Linked DNA regions of Alligator mississippiensis. The protein of the gene in region 4 interacts with the protein of the main gene of each other region in a biochemical or structural test. Links are inferred from orthologs where the notes say so. Each region holds a gene or a part of one and is shown on either strand. Other genes may lie near its edges.

Region 1 (7,722 bases), on a different chromosome or scaffold from region 4:
TGGTAATAATTCCACCTGCCTATATAAAACCACTGGATCTAGCCTACGCTTTGACTAATGACTGACCATGCTGGCAGAAATTAAACTAAATAATAATGAAATACTTTGGCAAGAACATTTTCATACTCTTTAAACTGATTACAAAAGCCGACATTTTTATGCAGTTCATAATTTTAATGTTATACTGTAACCTGTGTAATTTACATATAATAATCTTTATTGATATGTTCTTTTAGATTCATGGGATAGATGCATCCAAGAAAACAAATCTCAATTACAAATGTATTGACTAATTTCACTATGATTACACTGAGCTAACATGTTTGTGCAAAATAAGTTACTTTAGAGGCTAAACCATAATGTCTTTTACATAAAACTCCAGGGGCCTTCAAAGATGGCTTTTCCCCACATTATTGAGCTTGGAACTGGGTCCCCAGAGCTGCATTTATGAGATCTACCTCGAAACTAACTTCACAAAAACCAAAGGATATAATTGTTCACCTGGAGGTAAATCTCACTATCTGGAGTTGACTCTATTAAATATTCAGCCCTTTCAAAAAAAGAATCTACTTTTACAGTAGAAAATAAAAGTGCCAACTTTGTTTATTTCCTTTGTTTTCTGTATGTCCCCGCACTCTGGCCATACATTATATGTACACTGAGGTACAGCACAGCACAATATTAACACCATTTCTCTTATCTCTAAAGTCAAATATTTGCCCACCAGTGGTACTCCTGGCTGCACAAATATTGATTTTAAAATGTATCAATGCTAATTGGCTTACATACTGAAAAACTATTAGACAAGCATTATACTTCCAAATGGACTATATTAGCAGTCTGAAAAGACTACAGCCTTTGGGCCAATTGTAGAGTCCTACCAGTGAGGCTTATGGTATTTAATATGGAGATGCAATTCCACTGAAACTTGAGATCTCAGCATGCAGTGCTCCATCTCCAAGTATCACTTCAGGATTGGACTGAGGTTGGCTACTGTATATGATCACAGCTATTCACATATGTGTGTGTCATAAAGCCTATACAGCTACTGATACTTCTGCTTTAGCCCATAGTGCTAGGGGAAGGACAACTATTGCACAATGCCTGTTGCCACCATGAAGCTCCAAGTGATAACCAGGAAGTTCTAGGTGATGGCAGATTTATTACAGGATTTAAGATGAGGGCATCTGCCATCTGTACCATTTCATGCATCTCAGGTGCATCCTTCTCACTCCTTGCAAACGGCTCCTCATTTAGGCAAAGTTTGAGTCAACCCTGCTCTGGAATTATCATTCAGATTTTGACTTGAATTTGCAGGCACCCAATCTGTACATCTGGTGGTTTCAGAGCCGCACGTGATGAGGGCTAAAACTAGATACAGTGAACTGGGACCTATAATTATATATTTAAAATAGAATGCTTGTCCTGACAGCATTTTACTCAAATCCGGCTGAGTAAGTCCCAAAGGGTGTGCAATCTATAGCCAACGAATAGAGATCAGGAGGATATCAGCAAACTGCGGCATCCAATTAAAGCAGCTCAGTGAGCTGCATACAAAGCGTGGCAACTTTCATGTCATTTGCATAAACCCATCCACATGTGTGTGTGAAAGGAAGCACGTTAGCTTGCCTCAACTGGGGTCACTAGAAAGAGCTGCAGGAGTAAATAAGGATTTACCCTGGAATCCTTCTCAAGCCATTAAGAAAACAGACTCCAGCAGCCTGGCCCTCTCAATCTAGTTAAGGCTGCCTTGGCCACTCCACTAGGGTCTGTCCACTTAAGCGGCTCTGGTGGCATTGTGATCATCCACATGATTCCAAGCTCAGGGCTTTGAACTGTGTTGCAATCCAGGGTCTTTTGTTGGCTTCACGTCTTTCTTGGTGGTGCAAGAAGCCAGACAGAGCCACTAACAGGTCCTGTACAGGTCCACTCCCTCGTGGATTCTGCAAGGTAACTCATTCCGTGTGGAGGAGCAAGAGGGAAGAAGAAGGAGGGAGCATGGCAGCAGGCCAGATGAGATCTGATGGGGCACAGTAAAAGTCCTACTCATAGGACATAGGTTCTGAGTGAGCCCTTTCCAGCTGATTTCCAAACCTCCTGACACTTAAATTCACACTGCAACAAAGGCTGGATCTAGAGCCACTTACTTCCCCTGCCCTGCCCAAAGCCACCTGCCAGCAGGGCCATATGCGCCCCTTGTTGCTACCTGCCCCACCACAGCCTATTCTCTCCTGTCCCCACCAGAGGCTGTGGTGCCATTGGGTCCATCTCTTTGCTTTTGCCAGCAGAGAAACCAGCTTCCTTCCACCCCATCCCACTCCAGACACTTGCCCCAAACTCAGATCCTTTGCCCCAGGCTGTCCCAGACCTGTGCAGGCTGCCCCGGGCTGGGCTCGGACACTCACCCAGGTTCACGAAGCTCATGACCATGTCTGCCTCGGTGAGGAAGTTGCTGTCCTGCAGGCTGGCCAGGGGGGGGCCCTGGGTGCTGAAGATGGGCTTGTAAGGGTAGGAGAAGCCCTCTCCCTCCTCCCCCGCCGCCCCGGCCGCCTCCTCCACCGACATGGCATTGTAGAGATCCAGCATGAACATGGGGGCTGAGTTCTGCTTGCCGTGCAGATGGGGCCGGGGCCGGTGCGGCAAGCCCAGGATGGAGAGGATCTCCCGCTGCATCTCCCGGCGCTCCTGGCTCCGCAGCCGCCGGTGGATGAAGCTGGAGTGCACCTCATTGTCCAAGGTGAAGTCCGCCAGGATGCAGCGCAGCCACAAGCACGAGAGGACCAGCAGCCGGGAGGCAGGCTGCCCGGGCCACGCGGCGCGCATCTCTCCTGCACGGAGGGGAGATGAAGAGACCCACGGGGCTGCTGAGCAGGAATAAATACTTTACCATGAAAGACAGCTGGAGAGGGGGAAAGTGCCTGCCCCGCAAAGCTCTGATCACTTGGCTAGAGGGCAGCCCTGCAGCTCAGGCTTCAGCAAACTCATGATAAAAGTTTGCCTCTGGGGGGGGGAGGTGGTTTAGTTTGTAAAATCCATGAGATAAATAGCAAGGATCACTCCTGAGTGGTGCTTTCCACTCCCTTTCCCCTCTTTCTTTAGGGTCTGATTTCTTTCTCTCTCTCTCTCTCTCTCCCTCTTCACTTCTCACAAGTGTTTGAAATGCTGCTTTACAGACAGGCAGCAGGAGGTTGTATCTGGTGGGAGGAGCAGGCAGCACAACTCAACACCCTCCCTCGCTTGCTCTCTGCTCGCTCTCTCTCTCCAAACTGCTTAGAGAAGAAAATCCGTGTTACTGCCTAGAGGAGGAACATCTGATCAGGTTGCTTTTCAGGATGTTTATGGAGGCTTCTGGCTTAGAAGAAAGGGTGAGCCATTCCCAAGTAGTTAAATTAATGTAAACATGATTAAGGGGAAGGCAGTGCTGGGGGAGGGCTGTTTAGTGGAGGGGAGGGGGGGTATGCATATATAAAACAAAATAAACTAAGCAGTGCAGTGGGGCAGAGCCTGCCCAGAAGGCAAAAGACCAATACAGGCATGCATTTAAAATGTAATGATACCAGTAGGAAAGGTAGCCCAAGGTCGCTTGTACCCACAGGCGGTCGGGGGGGATGTGAGTGGAGAAGTGTTAAAGAAGGCCAGGAGGTTATGGGTTAATAGGTGAAAGTTTAAAACAATACAGGATACCAGTGACATGGCCCCGGACCCATCAGCTTGTGCGCACAGCTAGTGTTTGTCACAGTCTGTCTCCCTCTCATCTCCTCCCCTCTCTTTTCCTTCCATTGTTAGCTACACTCACTTGTTGCATCTTGTCCAGGATGGGGTTATCAGCCCTTTGGAGCAGGGGCTGTCTCTTACTAAGTGTCCCTACAATGTCTGGAAGAATAGAGCCCAATCCTGGCTGAGCCCTGCCAGCTCTACCATAACACAAAGGAGAAATAAATGACAGCATTCAGCAGTAATCTCTTGAGAGGAGAGGACCGGAAATAATTCAGACTATATGTTGATTTTTTGATTCAGCCCTGGCGGGAAGAGTGAAAGGAGAGGAGGGAAAAGAGGTTGTTTCCACTGCCTTGACATGCTCGTAGTCTTTGATGCTTCCTGATGAGCCTTGCCATGCCCAGAAGTCTGAACACCTGGTCCCACCTGCCTTCTGCACCCAGAAATGAATAGTTATTCATTTTTATTTATTTATTCAGTTTATACAATGCCAATTTATATGCTGCCCTTCCCAATAAAGGCTCAGGCTGGCTACAATAAAAGAACACTCCGCATTTATACAGACCAGTGTATCCTAAAAGTGTTGTGCAAACAGTGAGTAGCTTGTTATAAGAGCTGGGTGAAGGAGGCACTCTTTGCTTTTTAACAGAGGAGAAAGTGAGAGACAGAACTGGAGTGGTCCATTTTTAGACCACATTGAGAAAGGGGGAGAGTCCGTTAGGAGCCTAGCTGCCAGGCCCTTCCTCATTCTTCTGCTGCTTTTCAAAGGGGTGGCAAGAATCTTTTATAGCTCTAGAGAAGCACTGCCAGCCTGCCTGGGGGGCAGGAGAAGGACTGGAGGTGACAGGTGGTTTGCCCCGTCATCTCTTGCTGGCTCCCAATACAAACAGAAGCCATGATTTAAGGCTTCAGGTGTGTGTGTTGGAAGAGCCTTGTTCAATTCCCAGCTCTGCCACCAATCCCTTATGTGACATTAGCCTATCATTTAGCCTTTCTCTGCTTCCCATCTCTGTCCTAAAATGGGAATACTAGTATTTCCCTGGCTCATAGACTGGTAAGGCTACCTATATTTAAGTATTGTGAGTCACCCAGGTACTATGGTGATGCTATCCATAGAAGTGTCTAAGATAGTGGTAATACAGATATACCACCATGATATCCAGAAGGGGCCTTCTAGAGTCCCTTCACATGAATTAGCTGTGATTGCAACTGCATACAATAATAAAATACCAGCTTATTTTGTGTATCATCATTTGTACAAACCCTGGATTTGTTCCTAAGTGGTAATGCCAAAACATTTCTAAGAATTGCGGCCTTCGTGTTTGAAAACATATAACTGGCATGGATTTCAACACAAAAGGGTGTTTTGTTTCCTTGGTGCATTTGACAGTGATTGGGCCTAGTCTCTCCCCTCTGTCCGTTCCTCCTGCTGTTGCCTTATGTGCAGGCCTTTCACCCAACAAACCAGGGAGAAAAACATATTGAAATTAAAATACTATACAATAGATGAAGATTATAGAAATGGACAAGGAGCCTTAAGAGCAGGTATATTTCTAGAAACCATATATAGGGCAATTTTCAAGTTAACAACATCCCCTTAAAAAGCACTGCTTGTTTGGGGGAAAGGGAAGATACTCAGTTCTTCTGAACTGGAAGATTTGGGCTCTGGAAAAATCTTCAGGTAGCTGATTTCTGGGATTGATTGTGTCATTTTTTATGGGAGACAAATTTTGAGACTTCTTGGTTTGGCAGGTTCTTCTGGTTCTAGTTATGATTCTTCATTCCCTACTTAACTTCCCCCTAGCTTCAGTTGGTTAAGTTGCCTTGTGGGGGTTAAGATCAAGCAGTGTATTGTGTATCAGCTTAATAATTGTCCTTTCCCCAGGTGTAGTGAGTGACAGGGCCGTCTCTCACACTTGCATGGAAATGGATCCAATCTTTTAATAATCTTTTTCATTGCTATTTTGTATGGCTTTATTCTTTACTTCCTGGCCTAAACTGTGGACCAACATACCTGGTTTGACAGGCTCAGAATCAAGTAGAGAGAGGATATTGTGGGATCTGGCATAAGCAATAAACTTTTTATGAAAGGGGATTATTATAAGTATCAGAGAACCAAACTTTTTCTTTGAAGCTGCTGCAGGTAATTTCTCCACATGCTGTTCTACAAAAATGTCTGGCTTGTGATTGTTGAGACAGACTGCTAAATACAATCTGCTGAAATAGATACATGACAGATATGCCTAAGAGTGAGTTTGCCACTGTTATATACCAGGTGCCAGAGGCATTCTTTGTGAGTGAGGGTTGAGAACAGCAAAAAACCACTCTTGAAAAACCACTCATAGAGCAGTAGTTTTCAACCTTTTTTCATTTTCAGATCCCTAAAAAAATTTTAATGGCAGTGCGGTATGGTAAGTGTGGGTATTCACACATTTCTGATTGATCATAGTCATCTTTCCTGGACCCCTTAGATGTAGTCTGCAGACCCCCAGGGGTCCGCAGAACACAGGTTGAAAACCACTGTCTTAGAGAATTGATTTCTCAATTACATGTTGACTTCAGTGAGGCTGTTGGGTGCAACCAAGAGTATGTCCCAGTATGTCCCACTGTGTGCAATATAGCATGATGGAGTGAGATGGGGTCAACATTTAGCTGCGAACATGGATTTTACACATACATGCTGCAATTAGAGGATATTGTCTATGCCATAATTTCTGATTCTAATGTTTCTTCCATCATATTTTGCATACTGCTTGACCTCATTTATTGGTGCTCTCAGGGTCAGCTCCCAAGTACTGTAGACAAATTGCTGAAAATATTGGCAACCCCATGTCATCACCCTCTTTCTCTTCTCTCCCAGGTCAATTAAGAAACCAGTTTTTCCTCTTAACTGCCATCCGCTGCTCCTCCTCCTCCTCCTCCTCCTGCTCCCTGTCAGAGAAGGAGAGTTGAGTGCTGATGATGAAGCAATACCTGGATGTTGGCTGTGGCTGTTTCAGATGATTTCTTTAAAAAAATAACTGAGTGCTTCTATTTTCATCTTTTGGGTATCTTAGTATTTTGCATGTGTATGATTTGTATATTAGCTATTATTTGTGTTTATGTAGAAATACATGCACTGTTGCTGGATGGAAGTGACTAGTTTAGAAATAAAGGGCCCACTTCTAAAACAAATAAAGTACACACAATTTGTGTGCAATTGCATGTGCCTAATTTGTATGCATTGTTGTCATGGTCATGCATCCAAATTGCCAGATGCATACCAGTGGCTCATTCAGGTCATCAGTATGCAAGATTAACCTAAATGAAGTAAATGTATGTTCAGGTTACACAAATGGTTTCATGCTTAACTTAAAGATTGGACCCAAAGCATCCTGTCTTCCTTCTTTTATTCTGAATAACGTTAAAGCTATTTATTCTTCTTCCTCCTAATTGTTACCTTTGTGGCTTTCATACTTTCTCTTTTCACGCCTATCTGATGTATACAACCAATCCCTCAGAGTATCCTTCCTTTGTCTCTCCAAGTGCTGCACTAAAATGCATGCATCTGGGGAATCTTTTCAGTAATGATTGCATGATCAGCATCTGCATGCCATCTAATCTGGATTTGGTGGGACCCTCCCCATGTGTGACTCTCATCTAAAGAAAAGCCTTATTTTTATAAGATTATACAAACAACTTGCATATTGTATTATGTCATATTGGATTATACTTCTCAAAGTTTCTATTCACTCTCCTTAACAGCATTGTCGTAAATGCATTCGTCAACGTGAAAATAATCACATTACGGATAAGCCAAATGTTAGCACTGTTCCAAGAATTTGAACTGATCTGGATTGGACTTTGCTAAGTATATTATAAAAATTGAACAATGGCTCTCATTGCCCTGGCCTCTTCTAGTCAGAGAAGAGACAGTGATAGAAGTTGTACATTCAGACTTGAAAAATGAATCTACTACTATTGGAAAATTGAATAATAATTGTTAGCAAGAAATTATTTTTAATG
Region 2 (7,503 bases), on a different chromosome or scaffold from region 4:
ACGTATTAATATCTCCACTATACAGAGAATCAAGGCGTAGAGAGATGAAGTGACTTGCCCATGGTCACAGAGGGAGTCTGTGGTAGAGGTAGGAACTGAAGCTGGAACTCCTGAGCCTCAGTGAATTCACCCTATATCATTTTGGTCTAATAAAAGATATCACATCTACTCAAAGAACCTTCCCTCCCTATATCATAGATCTTTTCTATAGGTCTGTAGTATATATCACCTTGGTGTAGGAATAACCCTGCATCAGTGCAAAGGGTTGAACTACATGACCCTTGAAGGGCCTTCCAACCCTAAGATTCTATGATCTTGGTGAAAGTCTATTCACCTGGCCACAGGTTAGGTCCAAGCACAATAAGGGGAGCTCCTTCAAAGCTTCAGGTCTGTTCAGTATGAACTGACATGGCAAAGACATCCAGAGCATCATACTTCAACACCCCATGGAAGGTGAAGCCCTGAGAGTAGAGCTGAGTTACCTGGGCTCTCCGCAGGTAAATGGGCACTCTGCTCTTGCTGCCTTATATGGGGCAGCCCCAAAAGCAAGGCTAATGAGAAGAGGCTTTTGAAAAGGGATTCCCAGGTCCAGGCAGGAGTGCTGACACATTTCCACCACTGGAGGGCAGCCAGATCTAAAAAACATACAGGAATCAGCACAGCAAGCCTAGACTTCCCAGGCTGCCCCCAGAAAGCCAAATGCATTCAAATACTGCTCTCTGAAGCAGCCTCTTGGGGACCTGAACACGTTTCCTACAAAGGGAGAAAACAACTACTACTTTTGAGATTGGCAGGTTCTGAGAGGCAAACTTTTAGGCAGAGGGAATTCCTCTTCTCTCCTGTCCTGTCTCTCCAGCTATCAGGAGGAGTGGGGAAGGTTCTTTCACCCTGAGCCTGATGTTTCTGCCAGGCCTCGGGGCCCAGTTTCCTGGGGACAGAAAACATTGGGTTATAAAGATGGGTGCATTCCACAGGGCTGTCTTTGCTACAGAGATGAACATCCAGGTGCCCCTTTGGAGGTGCATCTTTGGAGCTGTGGCTACTGAAAGAAAAAGGCATACTGAACACCTACTCCAGAATGATATTTGAGGTGGATGAAATCTGTTCCATACCAATGCAGGGGCTACCTGCCTTGCTCCTTTCTGATATGCGGAGGGGAACTCAGGCCAGCTTTCCTTGGTATCACAGTGGTAGCCGGTTTTGTTTTTTCACTGAATTCTCTTCCCATTCAACAGGTAGAAAAAGGAAAAAAAATAGGGAGAGAAACCCAGCTTTCTGTTAACCCATGCAGAATTCAAATCCCAGCTGATCTTTGCTAGAGACATGAGGAGGTATACGTTGAGCCAGGGGTTTTAGCTATAGACAGCGGGCACTGAAATCAGCCTCCCTCTTGCTGTTTCTAAACGCTCGAAGTCATTGGACCAGATCAGTAGGTAACCCATATAGGCTGGCTGAGAATCTGTCCTCTTGCAGCATTCTCTTGGCATGGTTTGTGCTCATCTTCCCAAATATCATATGCCTGGGTTTTCACATGTATGTGTGTGTATAGATACGTATATACATATATACAGATACACATACATATAGACACACATACATACTCACGTATTACATGCATACATATACATGTATATAAACACACACATATATACGTACACATCCACACATATCATCTTTTGCAACCATCGGTCTTGAGAGACTGTGGAGATTGCGCCTTTGGTGGGTTACTGGATACTGCCACAGCTTCCTGAGTGGCTGAGTCTGATGCGCAACAAGCAGAACCTCCAGCAAGTTGCACATACAAATCAGTTGAGCTTGCACTGGCATGCTGAGTACTGTTTTCTCTTGCCCGCCTCTGACGCCTCTTCCCTAGCTCATCATTGGGACATATACGTATATATACATACATATATATGCATATATATATAGATATGCATGCATATACATACATACACATACATATATACTTATACCCATATATACATACATGCATATATAAACACACACACACATAAACACATCTAAATACACATGTATATAAACACACACACATATGCATATATATATATAACTTACGTATATAAACACACATACCCACACATACATCCATGCCTATATATATAACATACACACATAACACACACATTCACACACATAAACATGCACATACACACATAACACACACATGCATATATGTAAAAACAAACACACTATAAATACACACAAATACACATACATGCAGATGTGTAAACCACACACAAACACAGATGCATATATAAAACACACACACACACACACACACACACACACACACAGCTACTACTACTACTACCACCTTATTTTAACACTCTGACTCTCCCAATACATTATTTGACCTTCACACCTTAAAAGTCAGCAAACACTGAAATCCCACTGCACGAAGCTTAATCCAATTTGTTTTAAGCCCCGCCTGCCCCTCCATTTATTTCGCTCTTCCCTGACAGACAGATGCTATAATGGCTCATTGTTCACCTTGGCTCTCAGCTGACTTTCCTCTACCTCGCCACTTGTAGGCGCTCAGGTTCTGGCTAACCCAGTCCTCCCCGCTCCCACAGAGATGCCTGCGGCTAAACCTGGGAACCCCGGGCAGGATGGGCCCCCGGCTCCTCTGCCCTATGAGTCTCTTCTGGGACGTGTCCCCGAGGTGACAGCTTCTAAGGCGCAGCCGGAAGATCCTACTTTGCACCTTTAGGGACTAGCCGGGGCTGCAGTGACCATTGAGCAATGCCCCTCCCACCCATTAACCATTGAGGGATCCCCCCTTCAAGGGTGGATTAACCCTTTAGTGGGCCCTAGGCAAATTCATAGGCCCCTACTTAATCCTGTAGATTTATATTCCTTTTGTTTCACTCAATAATTAGAATATGTAAAATAAGTACAACTGGCCCCCCTTCTTCACTGAGGGCCTTAGGCATGTGCCTAGCTTGCTATGCCTTAAGCTAGCCCTGCCCCACCCCTCACATAGCGCCACCTTTGCCGCAGCAAGGATCAGCTCTGGGTTGATAACACCAGAGGTCAGGTTCAAGCCCCGATTCGGAGCCTGTCTCCTCCAGGGACCAGGTTGAAACTACCAAGATATGGTTGTAGAGGGTTGTGGGTGTTGCTAACGCAGCAAAATATATTAGATGACTACAAAAATGGAAATGAAAGGACTGGGAGGGCACTAGCTTGGACCCTCTACTTAGCAAGAATACCATGGAGGATTCAAGCTAGTGCCCCCCCCCCCCCCAATCTACATTCCCTGGGTAGGCAAGTTTCTGGGGTAAATGCTCCATGGAATTCTTGGTAGTGCCCAGCATGGAGTACCCTGGGTATCCACATCCCCTGGGCAGATAAGACTTTTGGGGTAAATGCTTCCTGGTTTCTTGCCAGTGAGGATCCAAGGTAGTGCCCAGCTTGTAGCACACTCCCCCCATCCACATCCCCAGGGTAGACAAGATTTTGGGGGTAAATGCTCCATGATATTTTAGCTAGTGAGGATCCAAGCAAAAGCACCCTGGGTATCCATATTCCCTGGACAGATAAGATTTTTGGGGTAAATGCTCCCTGGTATTCTTGGTAGTGCCCGGCTTGGAGCCCCCTGGGTATCCACATCCCCTGGGTAGACAAGATTTTGGGGGGTAAATGCTCCCTGGTATTCTTGTCAGTGAGGATCCAAGCTAGTGCCTGGTTTGGAGCCCACCCCTTCCCGGGGTATCCATCCCCCGGTAGACACGGTTCTCTGGGTAAACGCGATCTCTTTTATTAGCCCAACCCAATCGTTGGGGAAAAAAATAAAACTCTGCTTTGCAAGCTCAGGGGCAGCAACACCCTTCCACCCACACATGCCCCGGGGGAGCGCGGCCACCAGAGAGGCTCCCCGGCCGCAGCCTAACGGGCCGGTGCCCAGCTCGGCCGGCGGGGAGCAGAAGCGCAGGGGCAGGGAGGGCGGGAAGGAGGGCGGGCGGGAGGCAGGAGGAGGAGGCGGCGGCGGCGGTGCTGCAATCGCTGGCTCTCCCGCAGCCGCCTGTGATTGGCGCGGGCCCGCAAGCCCCCGGGGTCGTGACATCAGCAGCGCCACAAAAAGCCAAGGAGGCACCTCCGGCGCTTGGCAGAGGCAGGGGCAGCAGGAGCCGGGCCGGGCCGGGGCGGGCGCACAGGCACACGCAGCGAGGGGCCGCGGCGGCGCACGAGACGGGCTCCGCGCCGCGGGCAGCCAGGAGGAGCATCTGCCCGCAGGCTGCCACACCCCCGCGGCAGGAGGAAGCGGCGGCCACGGCAGCAGCCACTTGTTGATCGCGGCTTTCGAGAGGAGGAAACCCCAGCCCTGCCCCTGGCCGGCCCCCGGCGGGGAAGCAGTCCCCCGCGAGCCGGGCATGTCTCCGAGGCGGGCTGCGCCGGCGGGCCGGGGGCAGCGGCTGCAGCGGCGGGAGGCGCCGGGGATGCGGGGCTCAGCCGCAGCCTCCCGCTCAGCATGAGTGCCGGCCGCGGCCATGGGCTGCCGCGGAGGACGTAGGAGCCGCCCGGCAGGAGCAGCGCGGGCCAGCGGCCCCGGCGCGGCGCGGGCGGAGGGCAGCCCGCCGGCTTGGCTCCGCGCCTAGGAGGACTCGCGCACACAGACCCGGCGAGGCCACCCCGGGGCGCCGCACATGTGCCGCTCGCGGACATGCCCCCGAGTGCCGCCGCCGCCGCAGCTGCCTAGGCCGTCGGCGGGCTCCTAAAGGTAGGGCTGGGCGCACCTGCTGGGGCCCGTCTGCCCCTGCGCGCTCCGGCCGCGGCCGGCCCCCCGCAATCCGGACTCGCTTCGGATCAGCCCCAGCGCTGCTGCTGCTGCTGCTGCTGTGGGCAGGGGGTGTCTGCCCCCGGGGGGGCACTTTGGTGCGGGATCGGGCCCGGGAGGGGTTGGGGGGGAAGGTGCATGGAGGGGGTGGGATCGGGGCAGGGGAAGTGGGTGCGTGGGGGGGGGGAGGTCTTTAGGATGGGATTGGGATTGGGATCGGGCCCGGGGAGGCGGGTGCATGTTTGGTGCGGGATGGAGAGGGGGTGGGCGGGGGGTCTTAGGTGCGGGATCGGGCCCGGGGGGGGATCTGGCACCTGCTGCCGCGCCCTGCTGACCCCCCTTTCCCCCTCGTGTGTGCCTTGCAGGGCGACCATGGTGGCCGCAACCCGGTCGCTGCTGGCGCTGCTGCTGTGCCAGGTGGCGCTGGGCGGCTCGGCCGGGCTGATGCCGGAGGTGGGCCGGCGGCGGGCGGGCCGGGCGGCCCCGCAGCCGTCGGAGGACGTGCTGAGCGAGTTCGAGCTGCGCCTGCTGCACATGTTCGGGCTGAAGCGGCGGCCGAGCCCTAGCCGCGGCGCCGTCGTGCCGCCCTACATGCGGGAGCTGTACCGCCTGCACGCCGGCCACCAGCTGGGCGCCCGGCTCGAGCGCGCCGCCAGCCGCGCCAACACGGTGCGCAGCTTCCACCACGACGGTGAGCGGAGCGGAGCGGCCGCGGGGGCAGCTTCAGGGGGCTCCGTGTGTGTGTGTGTGTGGGGGGGGGTGGTGGTGTTTGGGAGTTGTAAAGTGTAGGGGGGTTTGGGGGCTGTGGGAGAGAGTGTGTGTGTAGAGGAGACAGTAGGGTGTGTGTGTATGTAGGGATTGTGAGAGGGACAGTGTGTGTAGGGGGCTGTAGGGTGTGTATGTTTGTGGTTAGGGGTGTCAGTGTGTGTGTAGGGTGTAGAGGGGCTTGGGCATGTGTGTATGGGGTGTGTGTGGAAGACTAGGGAGACTAATGCATGTTTGTAGGTGAGGGAGTGTGTGTGTGGGGGGGGCTGTAGTGGGTGTGAGGGAGTGCTTGTGTGTACAGGGTGTGTAGGGGATTTGAGGATCTGTCTAGGGTGTGGGTAAGGGGTTTGGGTAGGAGGGTGTGGGTGTGTGTGTAGGGGCTGTGAGGAAGAGTGTGTACATAGGTGTCAGAGAGAGCATGTGTGTAGGGGTGTCAGGGAGTGTGTTCAGGGTCTGTAGGGTGTGCATGTGTAGACAGGGGTGTGAAAGGGAGTGTTTGTTGGTTGTGTGCATAGGGGGATTAAGGGGTGTGAGAGGGAATGTGTGTGTAGGGGGGTCCCTTTTTTTTGGTATGGATGTGATCAGCTTTGGAGGCTTAAAAAACAGGGGGGGGGGGGGAGGAGTATCAGGGACAAAGTCTTTCCAAGGAGTTAATAAGCTCGGCTGCTAATAAAATAGGTTGTGTTGAACTTCCCAGCAGTGCTTGTAGTCAGGTGTGTGTGTGTGTGTGTGTGTGTTTTTAAAAGCCCTGATTAAACGACTCTGAATTTTATGTTCTGATGCACTTGGGGCTCAAATCTTTTTTTATTTTTTTTTCTCCTCCCCCTGCTTTTTCTTACCCCTGCCCCCTCCACTTTCCCTCCCTTTTTCATCTGATGTGAGACCTGTCGATTTTTCTTATTTTTTTTTTTTTAATTTTCTAACAGATTGGGCCCAAATTAAGAATTCCCACAGATTAGTTTTCTTTTTTTATTTATAAGGCTAAATACCAGAAAGTCTCCCTTGCTTACTTACAGTTGATCTGTAAGAGGGTCCTTGAGGAAAGGTTTCTAATCCCCGTGAGAGATCAATTCCACAATTGATTGTATTGTTTCCATAATGACTTTCTTGTCCTGAGTTCTGAAACAAGGCTAGATTTAACGCAGCTCTAAGGGGCAAAACTGGTCTGATAAAAGCCTTGTCACAGCCCTCCCCTGTCTCACATGTTCACCTGAGCCGATCAATACTGTCATTTTAAGTAAGATGCTGAGCGCATGTTATAAAGAAGTGTGAAACTGCATACACCCAAACTCTTTTTTTGTCTTGAAATTAGATAATCTACACACACACACACACAAACACGTGTGTGTAAAGTCACTTACTGCTTTAAAAATCTCAAGTAGCTGTTTTCTAATCTCACCCAAATGCTGCTATCTTGTGGAGAGCTGTATCCACCTCTCTTCTTGTTGAAACCTTTTAAAAGTTCAATAGGGTTTAACTGCATTAGGATAGTATAATAACTCCAGCCTTACGCTTCTGTGACAAACTAGTCACCATGAATGGTCTAATGTATCCATTTTACTTTGTTACCAATTTACTAAATACATGCAGAGGAGATTTGTCTTTTCTTAGGTGCATTTTTTTTTTTTTATTTGCCTTTCGGTACTCATTGTTTTATTAAATATGTGTGTCCATGGACTAACTAGATTCTGGGAGTGGGGGGTTCAGGCAGGGGGAGGAAATAACTAAACTGGTGTCATGGCAGATAGCCCAGGTAGACCTCTAGAATGAGTGGTTTGCATGTTACTCTTGCTCTTAACGCAAAGAAATATTCCAGAATTTGTAAATAACTTCTAGCTATTAGTCTTCAGTGGTGGTATGCTGTAGGCTCACTGTAAAATTAATGAAAACACAGATTCCACATGTTACAACATGGAGCTGTGACGAAAGAAATTTTATTA
Region 3 (8,573 bases), on a different chromosome or scaffold from region 4:
CTTCAAGGAACTATCAGGCATAAGGACAATGCCTGATTAAATTCACTCTACATGGGTCACAGCCTCTTCAGACAGTGCAAAAAACTCCTACTCCCTGAACCCTTATGTCAATTTTATTGTTGAGGTTTGAGTGTCAGTAATAAGTAGGGAACCAGGTTTTCTGTTTCCCATGGAAAAACAGAGCAAAACCTGTATTTTCCCCTTTACTAGAGGAAACCACAGATTTATCATTTTACTGGAGAAAGTCAAGGATTTTGCAGTTTTGCAAAGAGCTCTCTGCAGGCTGGCAGAGTTCCAGCTTTCAAGGAGCTGGGGGAAAGTAGGAGGAGGGCAGTCAGGCAGGGGGCACCATGTGCATGTATACACACATGGCCACCAGGCAGCCTGGAAAACAGCTCCCTCAAGTAAGTGGGGAGCAGGTGGGATTGAGGCCCCCATAAGGAGGGAGTTGGGCAGGGCTGGGGCTGCTGCCCAGATGGGCAGCACATGGGGCTTGGGACCTGGGGCCGCAATGTGCAGCTGCAGGGTCCTGGGGGGGGAGTGGAACAGAGCCGTGGGTGACTCGTCTGGTGGGCACGGGGTGGGACTAACTCCCCGCTGCTGTGCACACTCCCAGGGGGCAGGGGGAACCCATGCCCCCCAGATCTGTGCGCAGGATAGGGGCACAGGCTGCCCACTGTAGGCTTGGGCTCCTACCCTGCTGCCCTCCCCTGGGGCCTCCACAGCCTGGTGGCTGCAACCTGGTGCTGCAGGGAAGAGCAGGAAAGCTACTTGCAGTTGTGAGCCCTAGCAAGGTGTCCCCTGTGTGGATGGTGGCATGGGGTTGTGCCCTCACTGCTGCCACGCACGCAGGGGATGCCTCACTAGGGCTGCGCAGAGCTCACAGCTGCAAGCAGCTTTCCTGCACGGCCCCACGCTGCCCTGCAGAGCTGGGTCGCACCCACTGGGATGCAGAGACCCCAGGGGAGGGCAGCAGGGTGGGGAGCCTGTGCCTGCCTCCACCCCGCACACAGATGTGGGGGCATGGGTCCCCTCTGCCCCCCCCCCCCCAGGAGCACACAGCAGTGGGGAGCTGGACCCCACTCCCACCCAAGCCTGTAGCAGCCTACACATAACTTGGGTTCTGTGCTCTGCTCTGCTGCAGCAGGTGCCACCTCCTCCTGGAGGCAGGGGGCTGTGGACTTGGGTCTCTGGCCCCGTAGCCCTGGCAGCTGGGGGCCCCCTCCAGCAGGGCCAGAGGGGAGGGAGTGAGGGGCTTAAGCAGGGCCAAAGGGGGTGGGGGGGGAAGGCGTGTGAGGGTCCTTTCATTTTAATCACGGATTTTGGGTTTTTTACCAGAGAATTTATGATTTTTATCAGAGAAACCTAGGATCCCTAGTAATAAGAAACATGACTAAACAAGGGTATTAGTATGTTATTAGCATCTACTCCTCCACAGCAACCAGACTGTTTGTAATTAAATCCCATTTGAGTTTCCCTTCTAAAGTGGATCAGTGACCACCTTGGCACTGCTGGGGCAGTGGTCTAGAGGTCCCATCCAGTTCATGAGAAAATTCATGCTGATTTCACTGAAAACAGCATTAGGCTCATTGCCCAACTTGAGTAAGGTTAACATCTGACCCCTGTGAGTGCTTACCTGACCAATAAGAAGAGGAATGGAACTTCATTTTTTCTTGGTGGGATATGTGCATGCACTATACTAGCTCATTCTCCACAAACAGAAGAATTGTGCCACAGAGTCTCAGGTAATGGCTATGCTGAAGTCACAGAAGCTATTTAGCCTAATTAGCTGGTTCTGAATTTCTTTAGTTAGGTTGCTAACAGGAGCCATGCTAGCTCAGGTGTCTTTATACTACTTTAAGTACTTTTGTGACTGCAGTTTAGACATACCCTCAGCTCTCCCCTTATTACATATAAGGCTGCTGTTTTTATATAGAAAGTCTTTTTTTGATACACTGAAAAGCAAAGAAATCATCACTGTCTTTAGCACATCTTATGCCTGTGGAACTGTTTAATATATAATAAAATGCAAGTTTATCAACTATTGTAATTTAATTATGTAAAAGCTTAAGGGATGGATCTCTAAAGTATTTATACACTTAAAGTTAAAGATAAGAACCTTGCTGGATTTTCAGAAGTACCAAGATTTATTAGTCCCATTGGAAGTCAGGTACCTAGTAGGTAAACAGTAGTGAGATTTTCAGAAGCACTTATCCGCCTATTTAGACACCTAAAACCTTTGAAAATCTGCCCCTAAATGCATTGGTTGATAAGTATACAAACATCCACATCTGTTTCCAGGTGAATTTTATACGATTTTAAACTGAAAAGACAAAATTGCCTCTGAGTTATGTAAATCTGATTACATTTAAATCAGTCAAGCTATTTGCCTTTAATACATTACCATTATTTTGTAAGTAACTTTATGGATATACAAATGCATACACACAGCTGTGTGAACACTTATGCATTTCTTTCATTAATACACATATACTTACACCTTAGCTTCTTTCTTACCTTGTCCTTTATCTATAAAGCTTGTTATTGTATTGGCGAGTCCAGCCTCCAATTTTACACTTCCATTAACATCTTTTCTCTCTGCATCTGAGAGAGTCCTGTACAGGGAAAGCATGTATTCATGAGGTGTGATAGGGGGGTGTCTGAAAGTCTCTTTAGATTCCCTTTGTGTTAGAGGCTCTTTAGTCTTCTTGGTTTTGTAAGAACTGGCATCAGTATTGCGGGTGCCAGTTTTTTTAAGTGAGGCCTTGCTGCCAACATTCTGAATCTTTGGAGTCACTGTCCTTACTCCAGATGGTCTGTTAGGGGAATGTCCTACCTTTGTGTCTGTAGTCCCTGCTCTAGAGAGAATCTTCTTTGGTTCATCCTTCTTAGACAGGAGAGCTCCAGCTTGAACAGTATTGCTTTTACTTCTAGCCTTTGATGTCCCAGCACTGTATCCATGGGTTCCAGTCCTAAAGGTACCTGCCCTTGATAAGGGATTCCTTTCTTTTCCTTCTGCTTTTAGCAATCCTAATTTGGATCCAGGATTACTCTGACCTGCTTCAGAATTACTCAACACTACAGAAACTAAATCCAGATATAACCAAGTCAAATGCCAAAGCAATAAAGTGAGAAAGTGCAAGATTTTCATCCTCTGGTCTTCCTTTGAATGCCACTAAAGAAAAAATCAGAAAAGGTTCCTCCAGTTTGGCAGAAGAAAACATGAAAAAAATTTAAAAAAACTGTCAGGAGAAATAGCTGTCTTTTAAGTTTAAAACACTTTAAATCTGTTTCTCTAATATCTGTATCCAGTCCCATAGTGGAAATGCACATTTAGTCAGGTATGTTTCTCCCCTGGCTTCAGTTAGCAACTAAAAAGAACTTGTTCTTGAAAAGTGAAAGTGTACCTCCCCTTTTCTTCTGTAAAACTGACTGAAAACTTGAAGGAGTCTTGTTTAAATCTAAGGGGCTTTTTTTCCAAAAAGGAAGAATGGCGTAATGCTGCCTCTGTGCTAAAAGTTTTTTTTTTACGTTTTGAATCCTTTCCAGTGAAAATATTTCACACAGAAACCTGCAGGTGCTCAGAAATCTTTTACAAACCTGAACTCAGGAATTGGAAACGGAATTCTAACAAAAACCTATTTAATTACTCTCTGATGTCATGCTGTCTAAACTAATTTAACTGCAATATATTTCTTTAAAAAATCTTCTTTACCCTTTCCATTAGCATGAGTCATACCTTGCCTCATGTGAAACAACTCTGTAGGATCAACACTCCAGAGGATGCCATTTAGTGGCAATACGACCTCTACCTTAGCCTTAGATGAACTTCATATTCAAACAGGACAAATTGTAAGATCAACAGTATGAATCTTTTACAGAGTCCCTTGGAATAAATACATTAAAACATCTTATGATTCATAAGAGATGTTTAAAACCATTCTGAGTTGGAATCTTTTCCTAAGAATTGGAATAGTGACTTCACTTTGCCTTTTGGCGATGGAAGGACTTTGCCAACAAAGGTAATTTTTAAAACAAGGATAAAGTTTAATTTCATACATATACAACACATACATTCATACTAGTTTTAGGGGCATTAATTGCTATGCTGTTCAAAAGTAAAGCTAATTCCAGTTTGGTGCAAATATTTGAACAAATAAACTGAAGCTCCATTAAATACAGAGGGAATGTTTCCTTTTGCTTTTGTCTCACAGACGGCATCCCCGTGCCTCTTTAGCTTGCCCCAGCTGTGTAATATATTTCCTGAAACAGAACCTATCAAACAAATTCTTCCAGTGTTAAGCAGCAGTGTCCCCTGCAGGAGAACTAGAGTTCTGTCAAGCTAAAGCACTGAGGGAGCCAGAGAGACCAGATTCTAAAATCCAAATTTCATATTTTAAATGATTTAATATAAATGTGTTCTTTTTATTTAAAAAGTTTTAAAGGTTTAAAACCATCGCTTTAAAGGTTTTAAAGATTCATGTACACAATACAACCCCACAGAAATAGCATGTGATGTATTTGTTGATGCTTACAAATGAAAATTATCCTACATGTTAAAGTCCACAGGCAATTAAATATAAAAGATAATGCAAACAAGATAGAGCAAACAAATCTCTCCCGTAAGCTACAGAAAATTAACTCTTATTTTTCTAACTGAACCCTCGGAATGCAGGGACAGGCTCGGATCAATTAAAAATCGATTGGACCCCTCACCCTTCCCAGACTGAAGCTGAACTCAGTCTCAAAAAACTTAATTTCAACTGTTCCTGAGGCTAAGAAGTGCCATCATTTTTGGATATTTTTGTTTTATTTTTCACACATACCTGTACTTTCAGCTTGGAACTAGGACCAGGAACAGAAATCCTGAAATACCCTAGCAAATAATGTCCTGCCAATATTAGCTCTTTCAAACTGAGGGTCTCAGAGCACTTTGCAAATGGAAGTACCATTATCTGCACAGATTATGAATCTGAGCCTCAGGAAAAGGTTCAGTGACTTGCATTGTCATATTGAAGGTAGCTTTTCCAAACCACTTGGCATTGGCTTAATTTTACTCCCAATTACAGTTTTATTATTGGTTTCACCAGGAACATAGTCTCACAAGTTAGTAAAAGGATCTGGATTGGAGTTCACTTGAACAGAAGCATAGACCTCTGGCAGCTCAAATGGAAGCTCTGTATATCAAAGCAGAAATGCTAGTTTTCTAAAGAAAAGTAAAGACAATGTAAAGACAATATTTATATAGTTACACATTTAATTAATTTGAAAGGGCTCCCTTGGTTCTTGGATATAGCACACAATTCACAACAGAAAATTAATATTGCCAAAAAATGGCAAAATACTAAATGAATCCAGTCACTCCCCACTCCTCACCTACTTTCATCTGGCAGCGAATGTTTTACCTACTCAACAGAGAGAAAAAGAGCAAAATATCTAGGGGCAAAGGAACAAAAGGGCTTATAAGTGCCTTCTGAAGAGAGTCTCATTTGACTAGCTTGGAGATTCTACTGTCACTACATAGTTGTCCCCCTACAATCCCCAGACCATGTGTCTTACTGCTTCCTGGATGAGATTCCTGACTTCTGGCACACTGTCATCTATGGACCATTGGCTAGACATTGGCTCCTAGGCATTTGGTCTAACTGAACTTTGACTAATGCTTTGGTCTCTAAGCATTGTGCCCCTTAATGGCTACCTTTGACCTTTGTTCTGTGGCCTGCAGCTCCAGAATCATGCTCCCAGGTCCGTTTTACACTACCAGCAGCTGCCCTGTTTGATTAAGAACATGTCAGAAATGTCAGCACATCAGCTTTTACAACACTAAAAAAAGTATCCCTTCAGCCCCCTCCCTACAATCCATCACCCTACTTGTCTGAAGACCCCTATGTAAACTCTCTGAATGAAAGACTGGAACAATATTCATTGCTGAACCTACAGGAACTGAAGTATAGCCTTTTTCTAGTGAACTAGGACCCAAATAAGTCTGCCCTTCCAAATCTCCAATATGAAGAGCCAACATGCAGGGATTCCAGGTCACAAGAGCAGATGGACAGTGTAATGCATCCAGTGTCTGCTAATACTTGAACTAAAACATCAGCAATCTAGGAAACGGAAGGTAGCAGCCTAAATGTCTAACAGGGTCTGCTGTCCTCAGAACCAACACCCTCAAAACTTGGATCTGGAAGAGACTCTCGCTGAAACCTGGCCTAGAATAGCTACCATCCTATGTTTAAACTACAGAGCATCCAGAAAGACTGGGCTGAGAATTAGCCAGAAAGAAAGGCAACATTGCCTTCAGGGGACTGCAAAATGTTTAGAGGGAACAGACACAAATAGACACTGGTTCTTGAGTAGTGAGGTAGTGGCCCTGAATATTGGTGGGGAGGGTGTTAGTCTGTCAAAGGGTGGCAGGCCACTTAAGGAGAGTTGGGTGTAGCCTCATCTGTCTGTGATCAGCTACATCCTTGCTGAGACTGCCTCCATTGGCTGAACTGGGAGGAGTTGAGGAGGAATGCTGGAGCCAGGGTTGCCAGCTGTCTGTAAAAAAAGTCAGGCTATAAATGCCTGCCTCTCAAGTCTATAAATAAATATGAGCCATCTCTAAAAACACAAAGCTACCACAAGTCTGCTTGACTAAAGCTCCCCCTTGGAAAGAAGCTGGACAGCGAGAGCTTGACTGAAAGACTGACAGGGTAGAGCAATGCCTCCTGTTATCTGAGTGGTAGCATAGCACCCTGCAGGAAGCCAGTTGTCAGGGTTGTGTAGATCACACCGCCGGCCCCCCACCTCTAGCCACATGCTGCTGCCACTGTGTCTCATCCTGTAATGCTACTGGGTTGCAGGTAGGCTTCATTGTGGGCCTGTGCCAGCACAGGGAAAGCAGGACCACCAGGGATAAGATGGGGGGGGAGGGGTAGGCTGGGGGAAGCAGCATTATGCAGGGTGTGTGGGTGGAGGTAGCATGGTATAAACCATTGGTTTAATCAAGCAGTGTTGCCAACCCAAGATTTTTTTTTACTAGAAACTTTTCACTGACAACCAAACTTTATTTTTTTTTTTACTAAGGTTGGTGTTAAACCCTAAATTTGAACCCAGCTCTTCTAACTGAAGTTTTGTAAGCAAGGTAGGGCGTAGTAGAAGAGTTACATTTACATTACACAAAATATGTCAGTGAAAACGTGACAGTAAAAAAGTTTCGTCAGTAAAAAGTTTGCAAATTGTCACTAAAAATGTTCTTGGGTTAGCAATATTTACTGGGAGTAAAATGGCTTTTGTGGAAGGCCCTAGAGCAGGCAGCTTCTCAGGTATGTGGCTGGCAATGTGGCCCACTTATGGCTGAATTGTTTTGTTGCTTGAATGAAAAATTAAGCCTGTAAAAAAATACTTGATCCAAGAAAGATGTGGTGTCAGTCTCTTTAAGGCAAGTGGTATAGACCAGCAGCTTAAAATGACAGCAGGAGTCAGGACTGGGTGAATATTTGTTATGGCTGAGGGCAGGCATAATGGCAATATAAATTATGCTCCCCCTGAAATATCTGTGAACACATGGGGAAGAATGGGCTAGCAGAGAAAAAGATCAAGAATTGGTGGCTCATGACCCCTACCTGACCCCTGGCACCCCCTCCCCACCAATCCAAGCTTTCACCTCCCTGTGACCCAACATTCAGAGGATATGGACATTGTTGAGCCACATATCTATGCCCTCTGTGCTCAGGGTGAATAGCAGGAACTCCCAATTGGCAAACATTTCCTGGTGGTGGACCTCACCTTTCTGAAAGATTTTTGAGTGAGGCAGCCATTTCAGATGAACAGCTGTGCCAGCAACAATTATGGTTACAGTTTTTATCTGTACACAGAGAATGCTGTTCTTTGATGAAGAGATCAAGATGGTCCTATTGATAATGTCAGAGTGAAGTTCCCCGGGGGGCAGACTCCTGATGTCAAAGGCCCTCTTTTTGGTCCTTCTATAGTTTCCCCACCAGTCTGTAATAACAAGGTCCCACCCACTCTGTGAGAGCAGGGGCACTTGTAACCTTGCTGGCTTGATCTCCATATCCAGCTCTGTTGTTCTAATGAGCACTTGGGAGTTTTAAAAACTTCTTCTGTAGTAACATATTCCCAGAGAGGGCTAAGGTGTTCATTTTAGCAAAATCATTGTAACTCATTTTCTTCTGTGTTCTTCTTAGATTCTTGTAAGTGTAAGACTATTTCTGCATGTCAGGGGTGTCAAAGATATGGCCCACAGGTTGGATCTGAGGCACAGAGCTGTGTCACCTGGTTCGAAGGGCTCCCCAAACAGCTGAAAATTTAGCAGCAGGATGATCCGTGACAGTGTTAATTGCCACAGCTCACCCCACCACCAAATATTTGGCCTCATAGAGAGACCCATGGGCTGCATCTAAAGTGCAGAGCTATGTTATCTGGCTTGCGGAACTGCCCACAGAGCTGAAAATTTCTTGGTGGGAGAAGTGACAGCTGCCACAGAGAGACTCTTGATGAGCAACAGGAGAATTAAGCGGAGCTCCACAACCAGCTAATTATGAAAGAAGATTAAAGGAGCTAGGATAAAT
Region 4 (8,291 bases):
GCTCAAACTTTTAGTCCCATGGGCTGGATGAGTGGTGTGGGTCCAGTCTGTGGGCTAGATCCTACAGGCAGGGTGGATGCATGGGTATGTCGGCCAAGCCCTGTGCAACTAGACCTAGCCATGAAGTGACCCACCTGTTGGCTCAAGAGGACCTGACTCCATGCAACTGATCTGGCCACAGAATGACCATGGCATGCAGGGCTAAATCATCCACCTTAAAGGGTTTGCCATGGATCTGGAAATCTGTTGGCAGGGGAGAGGTGGCAGCAGCCACAGGGCCAGATGAAATGCTCCATGGGATGGATTTTTAGCCTGCAGGCTAGAGGTTGAACATCACTATTGTAGACAATGAAAAAGCTACTTTTTTATCCAAGGATGTTACAGTTGCTGCTATTATTGTCATGGAGACAGTCACTTATTTTTTATTTATATTTTTGGACTTGTATTTAAAGATTTCTGAACAGTAAACTTTCTTATGTGATGAAGTATTTATATGGCCCAATTCTGAGTGCTTTCAATTTTCACTGAAATCAACTGGAATTGAGTGTGCCAGAAATTTACAAGGAGAGGACCCTGGTGCATTAAAGCCTGAAGAAGATGTCATGGCTGCCTGCCGACTTCTCTGGCTGCTAGAAGTGGCTTGGGCAGCCAGCCAGCTGCTATACCCAGAAGAGAAGTGAGTCTCTGGACTTCAATTTGGGAAACCTTGACTTAAATAATTCTGGTTTACTATAGTATCACATATTGTTTTATCTGTCCATTTCACAGTCATTGTGCTAATTCAAAGGTCAAAGCATACAATCTACTCCCTCCTTTTCCCTCCCGCCTAATGAGAGTGTGTCAGGGTTTTATATTTTTTAAATAAAGTATTAACATGTTACACATATACTCAGGCAGGCATACAGATGTGCAACATATGGCATAATATGGAAACAAGAGTTACAAGATGGGAAGTTTGATCTTGGAACTGTGGAATTGTGCAGAAGATACTTCAGTAATTATGTCCTGAGCAATAACTTGCAGTCCCAAACATAGTCTATAAGCAAGAACTTTGATTTCATAGCCCCTTTTGATGTTAAAATATTTTAGTAAGACTTTTTAATTAGCTGATTTAATAGATGTTAAGTAAGGAGGTGATCAGTATTTTTACTAAACCAAAGAACATTTGACAAAGTGTGCATCATAACTGTCATTTCTCCAAGCAGGGAAGTTATACTAACTGGCTCGTGCCATGCATCTTTATTTTCTGCTCACTGTGAACTGACAGCTGGTCTAAACAGCAAAATGCACTGTTTCAGATAACTTTGCTATGGCAGTACTCCAAATCTGTTTTGCAGATAGAAGGCAGGGTAGGGTGGCTAAAGAACACATTTTGGTGTTCATTTCAGTATGGTTAAAAGAAGCAAATACAACTTGGTATTGACTGTTAAAGATGGGATGAAACCATGTTTTAGAATCATTAAGACAGCCATGAAACATGTTTTGTAACATTGTAATAGAGCATGGTCCTGCCCTACAAAAGAAAAACCAGAGCGTATTATGATGATTTTTTTTTAATTCACAGCAGAATTAAATTCTACTTTGCTAGCAAAGCAAGATAAAAGCAACATCCCCATTTCGGAGCTGAGAATAAATGAATAAATTGGCTGTACAGCCTTACTTCCTATTATGAAGTAAGTAAGGCTACAGAAGAACAAGCATATTTGTATGAAATGTGCAAGTCTCAGGGCCTTGGCAGATGTTATGCTTAGGATGTGATGAACCTGTTAATCAAGTCATAAATAGTAACCCTTCAGGGAATGAATAGCATGTTCAGGGAATTAATAGCATGACAAAACAAGAAACCCGCTACAAAAATGTTATACAAAATATGTTTCCATCCTACCTTAAATTGAAAGTGTAGCAGGGTAGCCCTGCTTTGCAACCTAAAGCTGGCTGCATGGTGGGGCCTTGTTAACTGCGATGTGGCATAGTACTCCATGGTCCTGCACCTTGTGAATTTAGACCAGGAGCCATCAGCCTGTTAGCTGGGTGGTACAGCCCTACACCGGTTTTCAGGGAGCCCATCCACTAAGCCAGCATGGTGCTTGCCTTGCTCAACTCCTGATAGGGGTTCAGATGCCATCACGCCATTATTTTAAAATCTTCCAGGCACCTCAAAACATTTACCTCTTCAGTTGAAAGAATGGGAAAAATACTATCATTAGCTTCTGCAAAAATGATTATTATGTTGACATTTGTAAGCATGGGCTAAAAAGGAAGAGATTCCACAATATTTTTGTCCCCTATGGAAGGTTTATTCATATGTGATTACTAAGGATCCTAGCTTTTTGTTCACCATAGAAAAATGCAGAATCCACCTCTTTCTGTAACTTACCGAAAAGCATGGAGGCATTCTACAGTGAGCAAGATGCAAATACTGCAGCAAAAATAAGAAAGCAGGAATGGTGGCACAATCCGTGGGATGTCGCTGCATTTTTAGTAGGTTGCAAAAAACCACAGATTTTTGTGGGGGGGGTTTAAACAGTTTTTTTTGCTTTTTTCTCATGGAAAACTAGGATCCCTGGTGATTACTGGAAACTCCTACACTAACATACACAGTATCTGAAGGAACTGAAGGAGGATCAGTGTGGACCTCAACACTCTGAGGTCATGGAGGTGAGAGCATGCTGAGAACTTTGCCATGAGTCTAGAACATGTTTGTGGTTTTGTCTGTTTACCCTAGCAGTGATAGAAGATTTAGATAATTGCTATCTGCTGCTGGTATAGCTGACCACCCCAAACAATGCCTTGTCAAATATACTTCTGCTTCATAATAACATTGCCAGTGTTAGCTGAGAATTTGAGTGTTTTTATAAGTGTTGTTATAATGAGGTCTGTTATAATTGGGAGTCAGTGAATGATGTCTGAAGTAATCCCCTCAGAAAAGACTAGTCAGAAAATCTAATGAGGGGAAAAAAAACCCTGTCATCCTCCTTTCTTATAGCTCAAATTGGTAATGAATAGTGTCTGTGGCTGCTGATTCATAGCAGTTCTGCAGGTCAAACCAATTGGTCTCCTTTCCTAAGGAGATTAGTCCTATATTTTCAGCGGATAAGCGTCATAAATGTTCACCAAAAAAAAAAAATTTAAAAAAAAGGTAAGGGGAGGGGCTTGCACAATTTCATTAGGACTATTATATTTAACCTATTTCAATGCAAAATCCTTGATTTTTACCTGCCAGTTGTCATGCAGACATCTAATTACCTATATAGCTCAAGGAGAACCAACTCTCACAGTGCTACATTGCAGTATATCGTTCTCCCTCTTCTCAGTCTCGAGTATTTCCCTTTATGTCAGTCTTTCCTCTTAGTTCCTTTCTGTATCTTCCTACATCTCTTTTTCCATTCCATGTCTATTCTCCCCCCCCCATCTTTTTTCTTCCTCTCTCTCTGTTTTCTCTTCTCTCTCTTCTCCCTGATTAAAGTCTCCCATGCTTTTTGCAGCATGGAAGAGTTTTTCATGTATTGCCTATAATGGCATATCTGCTCCACTCCTTTTGGTCATTGCCTTGCTTCCTTTGTGTCCAGTGTGTGGGCGGATGGGAAAACTGAGGAGTATGCCAATAGGAGTGAGTGAAGTACCTCCACTGATGTGGGGACTGCAGGTTTGTGAGAGATGATCTAGTTGTTTGGCTAGCAAAGTCAATGCCACATTTTAAAATTTGAGATGTATATGGGGTAATCATGAACACAGAATCACAAAAGTGAGTTGGAGAACACGAATTAGCTTTTTTTGCAAGATTTCCAGCTTTCCTTGCATTAATTTCAGCATTTCTGGTTCCAACTACAGTCCCGAAGCGCAAAGGTTCATGTAAAAGAGAAAACAAACAAATCAACTGTTTCAGGAACGTAGAGACAGGTTCAGCCCTGGAAATGGGTGACAGGTCAGGTGCAGGAGGTTCTTTTTGTTTTTCAAAACTGGTTTGCCCACTCATGTGTCTGTTTGTATGCGTGTGTGTTTCAGAAAGTAACAGCAATATTGAAAGAATACCACTTTGCATGTAATGATCACTTACTGGACCACAACACTTCCCTACTCAGTCACAAATGATGCGGGCGTTTGGCAGTGCTGCCATCAGCGTTCCCTGCTGCTGTCATGTCTCACTCATTGCACACACTATGGTTTTATTAAAAAAATTGCCATTACTTTTGGAAACACCCATGTGTATGCAGATCCCATAATATTGAGGCAGTTTGTTTCTCTCCTGCAAATGACAAAATATTTTGGCTAAATGGAAAGAAAAATCAAATGAGTCTCTGTTTTTCAGGAGGACTATAACAGCACATGTGACTTTAAAGGGAAATAAATTACTGTTGTTTGTTGCTGCTGCTGCTATTATTATTGCTCTTTGTAATCTCTCCCTGTCTGACATACCATTTCTGTTCTTGCTTTTGGCCTTCACTCCATTGCAGTGTCTCAAAGGCTAAATGGAACTTTTGACAGCATTAGTCATTTTCCTAAATGGGTAATAGAAAAAAATGGGATAGTAAAAAAAAAACTTAGAAGGCTTTGTCATGTTATACAGTCGCACTGTGGGTTCTTGGCCTCTAGGTGTTATTTCAGTCCAAATAACAGTAAGGCATTACAGCAGAGAGGAGGCAGTATATACTCTGACAGTGGGTGCACCTTACATACTATGCATTTAATTTAGTACTTCCTTAATAAAGTACTGACTAAATGCGCAGTACCTGAAGTTATGCACAGTAGCACCTGTGTGCTGTTATTTACTGATGCTTGCTGTGCATTAGTCTAATACGGCACAATAGGCTATGAGCATGGTTTTTTGCTGACATGCTAGCATGCAGTGTTTATTAGGCTAATGCACAGTAAGCATCTTGTAGAGGCAGTGCTGTGGTGCCAAACTTGGTTGCTCAGGGCAAAGCCCGCAGCAGCAGCAGCTCTTCCTGCGCGCAGATCCAGCGGGCACATGCCTGCCCCACCCCCAAGAGCCACTCTGCCTCCATCCCAGCCCGACTGGGCAGCGCCTGCTGGTGCCCCTTCGCTTTGGTCGCCCTGCTCATCGCCCCTCTTGCTGCGGCACTGTGCGGCTGCACCCAGGGGTTCTCAACCTTTGTAGACGGTAGGCACCCCCCAGCCCTAAGCTTGCACTCCTTTTTTGAACTGCAGGAAAGTAACAGAGCAGTTCCTCGGTTGCAAATCGCTCAGGAAGCCCGTAACAAGGTAGGCGGCTTTTTCACACCTTGGATTTAACTTGTGAATCACGTTTGCGCGCCTAACCGCACTCACCCCGGCAAGGACCCGAGTGCCGGAGCCCTGCTGCCCTGCACTTTGCAGCCCAGGCAGGCGGCTGACCTCCCGGGTTAGCGGGCTGGTGTTTGCAGCCCCCCCCCGTGCCGCTGCCGGGGGGTCTCGGCTCTTCCCCGGCGCAGGCGGCCCCTTTTGCTCCACCTCTCCTCGAGGCTCTCGGGCTGGGGGACCTGGGCTGAGGCTTTGCTGCGGCAGCTTGGGAATGGGTTGGCGGCGGCGCTGGCGGCTCGCTTGCTGAGCGGCAGCGGGGGCGAAGCGGGGGTTTGTTTTTCAGCATCCCCCTCTCTCCCCCACAGCGGACACGGGGCCGGGGAAGCTCATGGATGCGCGGCGAGTCGCCTGCGCGCAGGAGGCGGCGCTGGGCCCTGGCATGGCTTAGCGGCAGCAGCACTCAACTGGTGGAGCTGCTGGGCTGCGCTGGGAGGAGGTGAAGCCCGGGACTTTCTGGCTCCGGCTCAGTCGGCGGCAGGAGAAGAGAGGCGGCGCGGCCGGGCCGGGGGTGAGCGCGGGGCCGGGCCCGGGGCGCGCGTGCTGCGGCGGAAGCCGGGACGTTTCTCCGCACTGAGTGGGGGGGCGACGCGGCGGGTCCTGGCGGGGCTCTGCAGGGAGCGGGGCCGGGGCCCGTGCGGGGCACAGAGGAGCCGAGGGCTGGGATGGAGAGAGGGAGGGAGCCCCGGCGCGTCCCCACCCCGGGCACCGCCCCTGCCCGAACCCCCTCGCACCTGTCCTGGCCCCTGCGCGCGGGGTCGGCGGGGCCGGGGGCATGCGGCGCCTTGCAGCGAGCAACTCCCCTCATCTGCGATCAGGCCGGCACTTAGGGGTGAATTTGAGCCGCTTCCTGGACCCTCCCGCAGCCACCCTAAACTGCCCTTCTTCAAATCAAGCCCCGATGCATAGTGTATGCCTTAATTTTGCTCCCGACACAGGTGGACTCTAAGAGCCTACTTGCCCTTCATTATTTAGAAAGAAAGGGACCGTCTGGAATAACATCCCGTGCCCTTTGAGCCTCCACAGGCTTGCTCCCGTGCTGTTCCTGCTGCATTTTGCACCATTCAGTGTTTTCGGGGGTCACACTGTTGTCTGTTAATTTTGCTTTTAAAAAGTATCCTTCTCCTTCTTTAGAAACATTTGCTATAGAGATGTTGAGCGAGGGCACTGGATTGTAGCTGCTAGTGCTTTTCTTCAGGTTGATTGTAAAATTATTCAAAGCAACTGCTTGCTTTTTTTTTAGTCTGTCCATATAGTGGGGTTGTTTTGACAGGTAAAGTGCACTTAATTTTCTGAAAAGTAACTTTTCCACGACTTTAGACATGCTCTAGTACAAATAGTTCTTATAACTTTTTTTTAAGTGTAACTTAATCCTAGAAAATTTGATACAGTGTGTTATTTGTCTAATTTGATAAGCTGTTTAGACCTTTCTTTGTGGTCACCTGTTACATGATGATATCATCTCATTACTCATGTGTCAAAAGCTGTTGATGAATTCTTAATGACATTAAAATGTGCGTTTAAATCAAAATGTCATTTTGCCCATATCAGCCAGGAGAATTGTGACTTTATGGAAAAAGTAGTTTTTCTCTGTCTTTTTAGGCAGTGCTCTCCTGTTTGTTTACCAGTACACTTTCTCTTTCTCCTCCCTTCCTCCCTGCCTCTCACCTCATACACCCTCAGCCAGTCTACCAGTGGATTCATAGTTTACAATAGTAGATTTTGTTGAATTCCTGGTGGGGAAAAAGGCCTATTCATAGGTTGCAGCTAATCAACTTAAAAGCCTGATGAAATGGATCATAAATTAGTATAATCTTTTTGTCATTAGTATTGTATAATGCAGTTAGTGTTATGTGGTTTACTATAATTGTATTTAGAATTTATTATTAAAACCTTTGTAGTTGTTTTAAAACAAGGAATCCTGCTTTCTCCATTCTTTTAACTCCATTGACCTCAGTCAGTCATGCTCCTCCTGATTCTCATCTGTGGAAGCCATGGGCATATCAGGAATTTACGGTTTGACTTCTGGGTTGCTCCTTCCAACACTTGTAGTTCCCCGCTAGATGTGCTTGGAGTTCCTTGCGTGGGACAGTAAGTACATCATACAATGGACTGAGTGTTTTGGCTCGAAGCCAGGGAAGTGTATGCCCAACTTTAAGAACAGGAACAGATAAAGTTCAGTGTAATTGGTTTATTTGTATAATTAGTTAAGCATCTGCTTAGGTGTTGTACTGGGTTGGGGCCAGAATGCTCCTATTCCATATTCACTCAGCTGAGAGAAATTTAGGCCTTGGCTTGCAAGTTGCTACATTTCTACATGTGAGTAGTTACTTTGAGTTCAGAGGGGGCTATTTACAAGCAACTTGCTATAAAGTATGCATGCGATGTTTGCATAAGTTGCATGCAAAGTAGTCACCAGATTTGAGCATGTTTCATACCTGGCTGCGAGTGTGAGAATCTTGTTTTACCACATGTCCATAAAATACGCCTCCTATATTTGTGACTGTGGAAAGAGCATCTGAAATGTAGTTTTCTTTGGCTATAATATGGACTGCTGACAGAAATGAATGATAGTGATCTAATAGTAACACATTTAGAGCTGAGTCTGAAACACATTGACCTCCTAATACAGTAGCTCCTTTTTATATAGATAAGCTACTATGTTTGTATTGTCTGAAATAACTTAAATATTTTGGCCCTGATAAGCAAAACTCTGACACAACTGTCTGGAAGCCATTGCGTAGTTAAGCCAGTCTAGATTTCACATGTGCAACCTTATTTCTCTCCTAGCGTGAGTTCCAAAGCACTCTTGGCCCTGACGAGAAGCACTGTACTCTTTCTACTAGATAGCTCTCTGGTTGTATGAGGAGAAATATACCAAAAGATGAAAGAGTTTAAGATTTTTACAAAGGAATTAGGTGCCCCGCTCTCAATATCCTCTCATATCTCCCTTATACATACAAGTCTTGTATCCACTGTCTTAGTTCTCCTGA

The links.
Region 1: the proteins of BMPR1B (region 4) and BMP7 form a complex in vitro, tested with the Homo sapiens proteins (2 studies listed by BioGRID). The link is inferred for Alligator mississippiensis from reciprocal best matches to the Homo sapiens genes BMPR1B and BMP7.
Region 2: the proteins of BMPR1B (region 4) and BMP2 form a complex in vitro, tested with the Homo sapiens proteins (3 studies listed by BioGRID and IntAct, with this or other methods). The link is inferred for Alligator mississippiensis from reciprocal best matches to the Homo sapiens genes BMPR1B and BMP2.
Region 3: the proteins of BMPR1B (region 4) and GDF5 interact in a biophysical measurement, tested with the Homo sapiens proteins (3 studies listed by BioGRID and IntAct, with this or other methods). The link is inferred for Alligator mississippiensis from reciprocal best matches to the Homo sapiens genes BMPR1B and GDF5.

Annotation. Positions count from the first base shown.
Region 1 is NC_081832.1:9,427,915-9,435,636, reverse strand, and holds the start of BMP7 (bone morphogenetic protein 7), read right to left. Parts: upstream 3,130-7,722; 5' UTR 2,824-3,129; coding exon 2,406-2,823; intron 1-2,405. UniProt on the Homo sapiens protein: Growth factor of the TGF-beta superfamily that plays important role in various biological processes, including embryogenesis, hematopoiesis, neurogenesis and skeletal morphogenesis.
Region 2 is NC_081824.1:225,998,763-226,006,265, reverse strand, and holds the start of BMP2 (bone morphogenetic protein 2), read left to right. Parts: upstream 1-4,096; 5' UTR 4,097-4,741; intron 4,742-5,163; 5' UTR 5,164-5,170; coding exon 5,171-5,489; intron 5,490-7,503. UniProt on the Homo sapiens protein: Growth factor of the TGF-beta superfamily that plays essential roles in many developmental processes, including cardiogenesis, neurogenesis, and osteogenesis. Induces cartilage and bone formation.
Region 3 is NC_081832.1:37,890,842-37,899,414, reverse strand, and holds the start of GDF5 (growth/differentiation factor 5), read right to left. Parts: upstream 3,426-8,573; 5' UTR 3,152-3,425; coding exon 2,518-3,151; intron 1-2,517. UniProt on the Homo sapiens protein: Growth factor involved in bone and cartilage formation. During cartilage development regulates differentiation of chondrogenic tissue through two pathways.
Region 4 is NC_081825.1:157,017,646-157,025,936, forward strand, and holds the start of BMPR1B (bone morphogenetic protein receptor type-1B), read left to right. Parts: upstream 1-4,978; 5' UTR 4,979-5,122; intron 5,123-5,132; exon of another isoform or gene 5,133-5,223; intron 5,224-5,448; exon of another isoform or gene 5,449-5,809; intron 5,810-8,291. UniProt on the Homo sapiens protein: On ligand binding, forms a receptor complex consisting of two type II and two type I transmembrane serine/threonine kinases.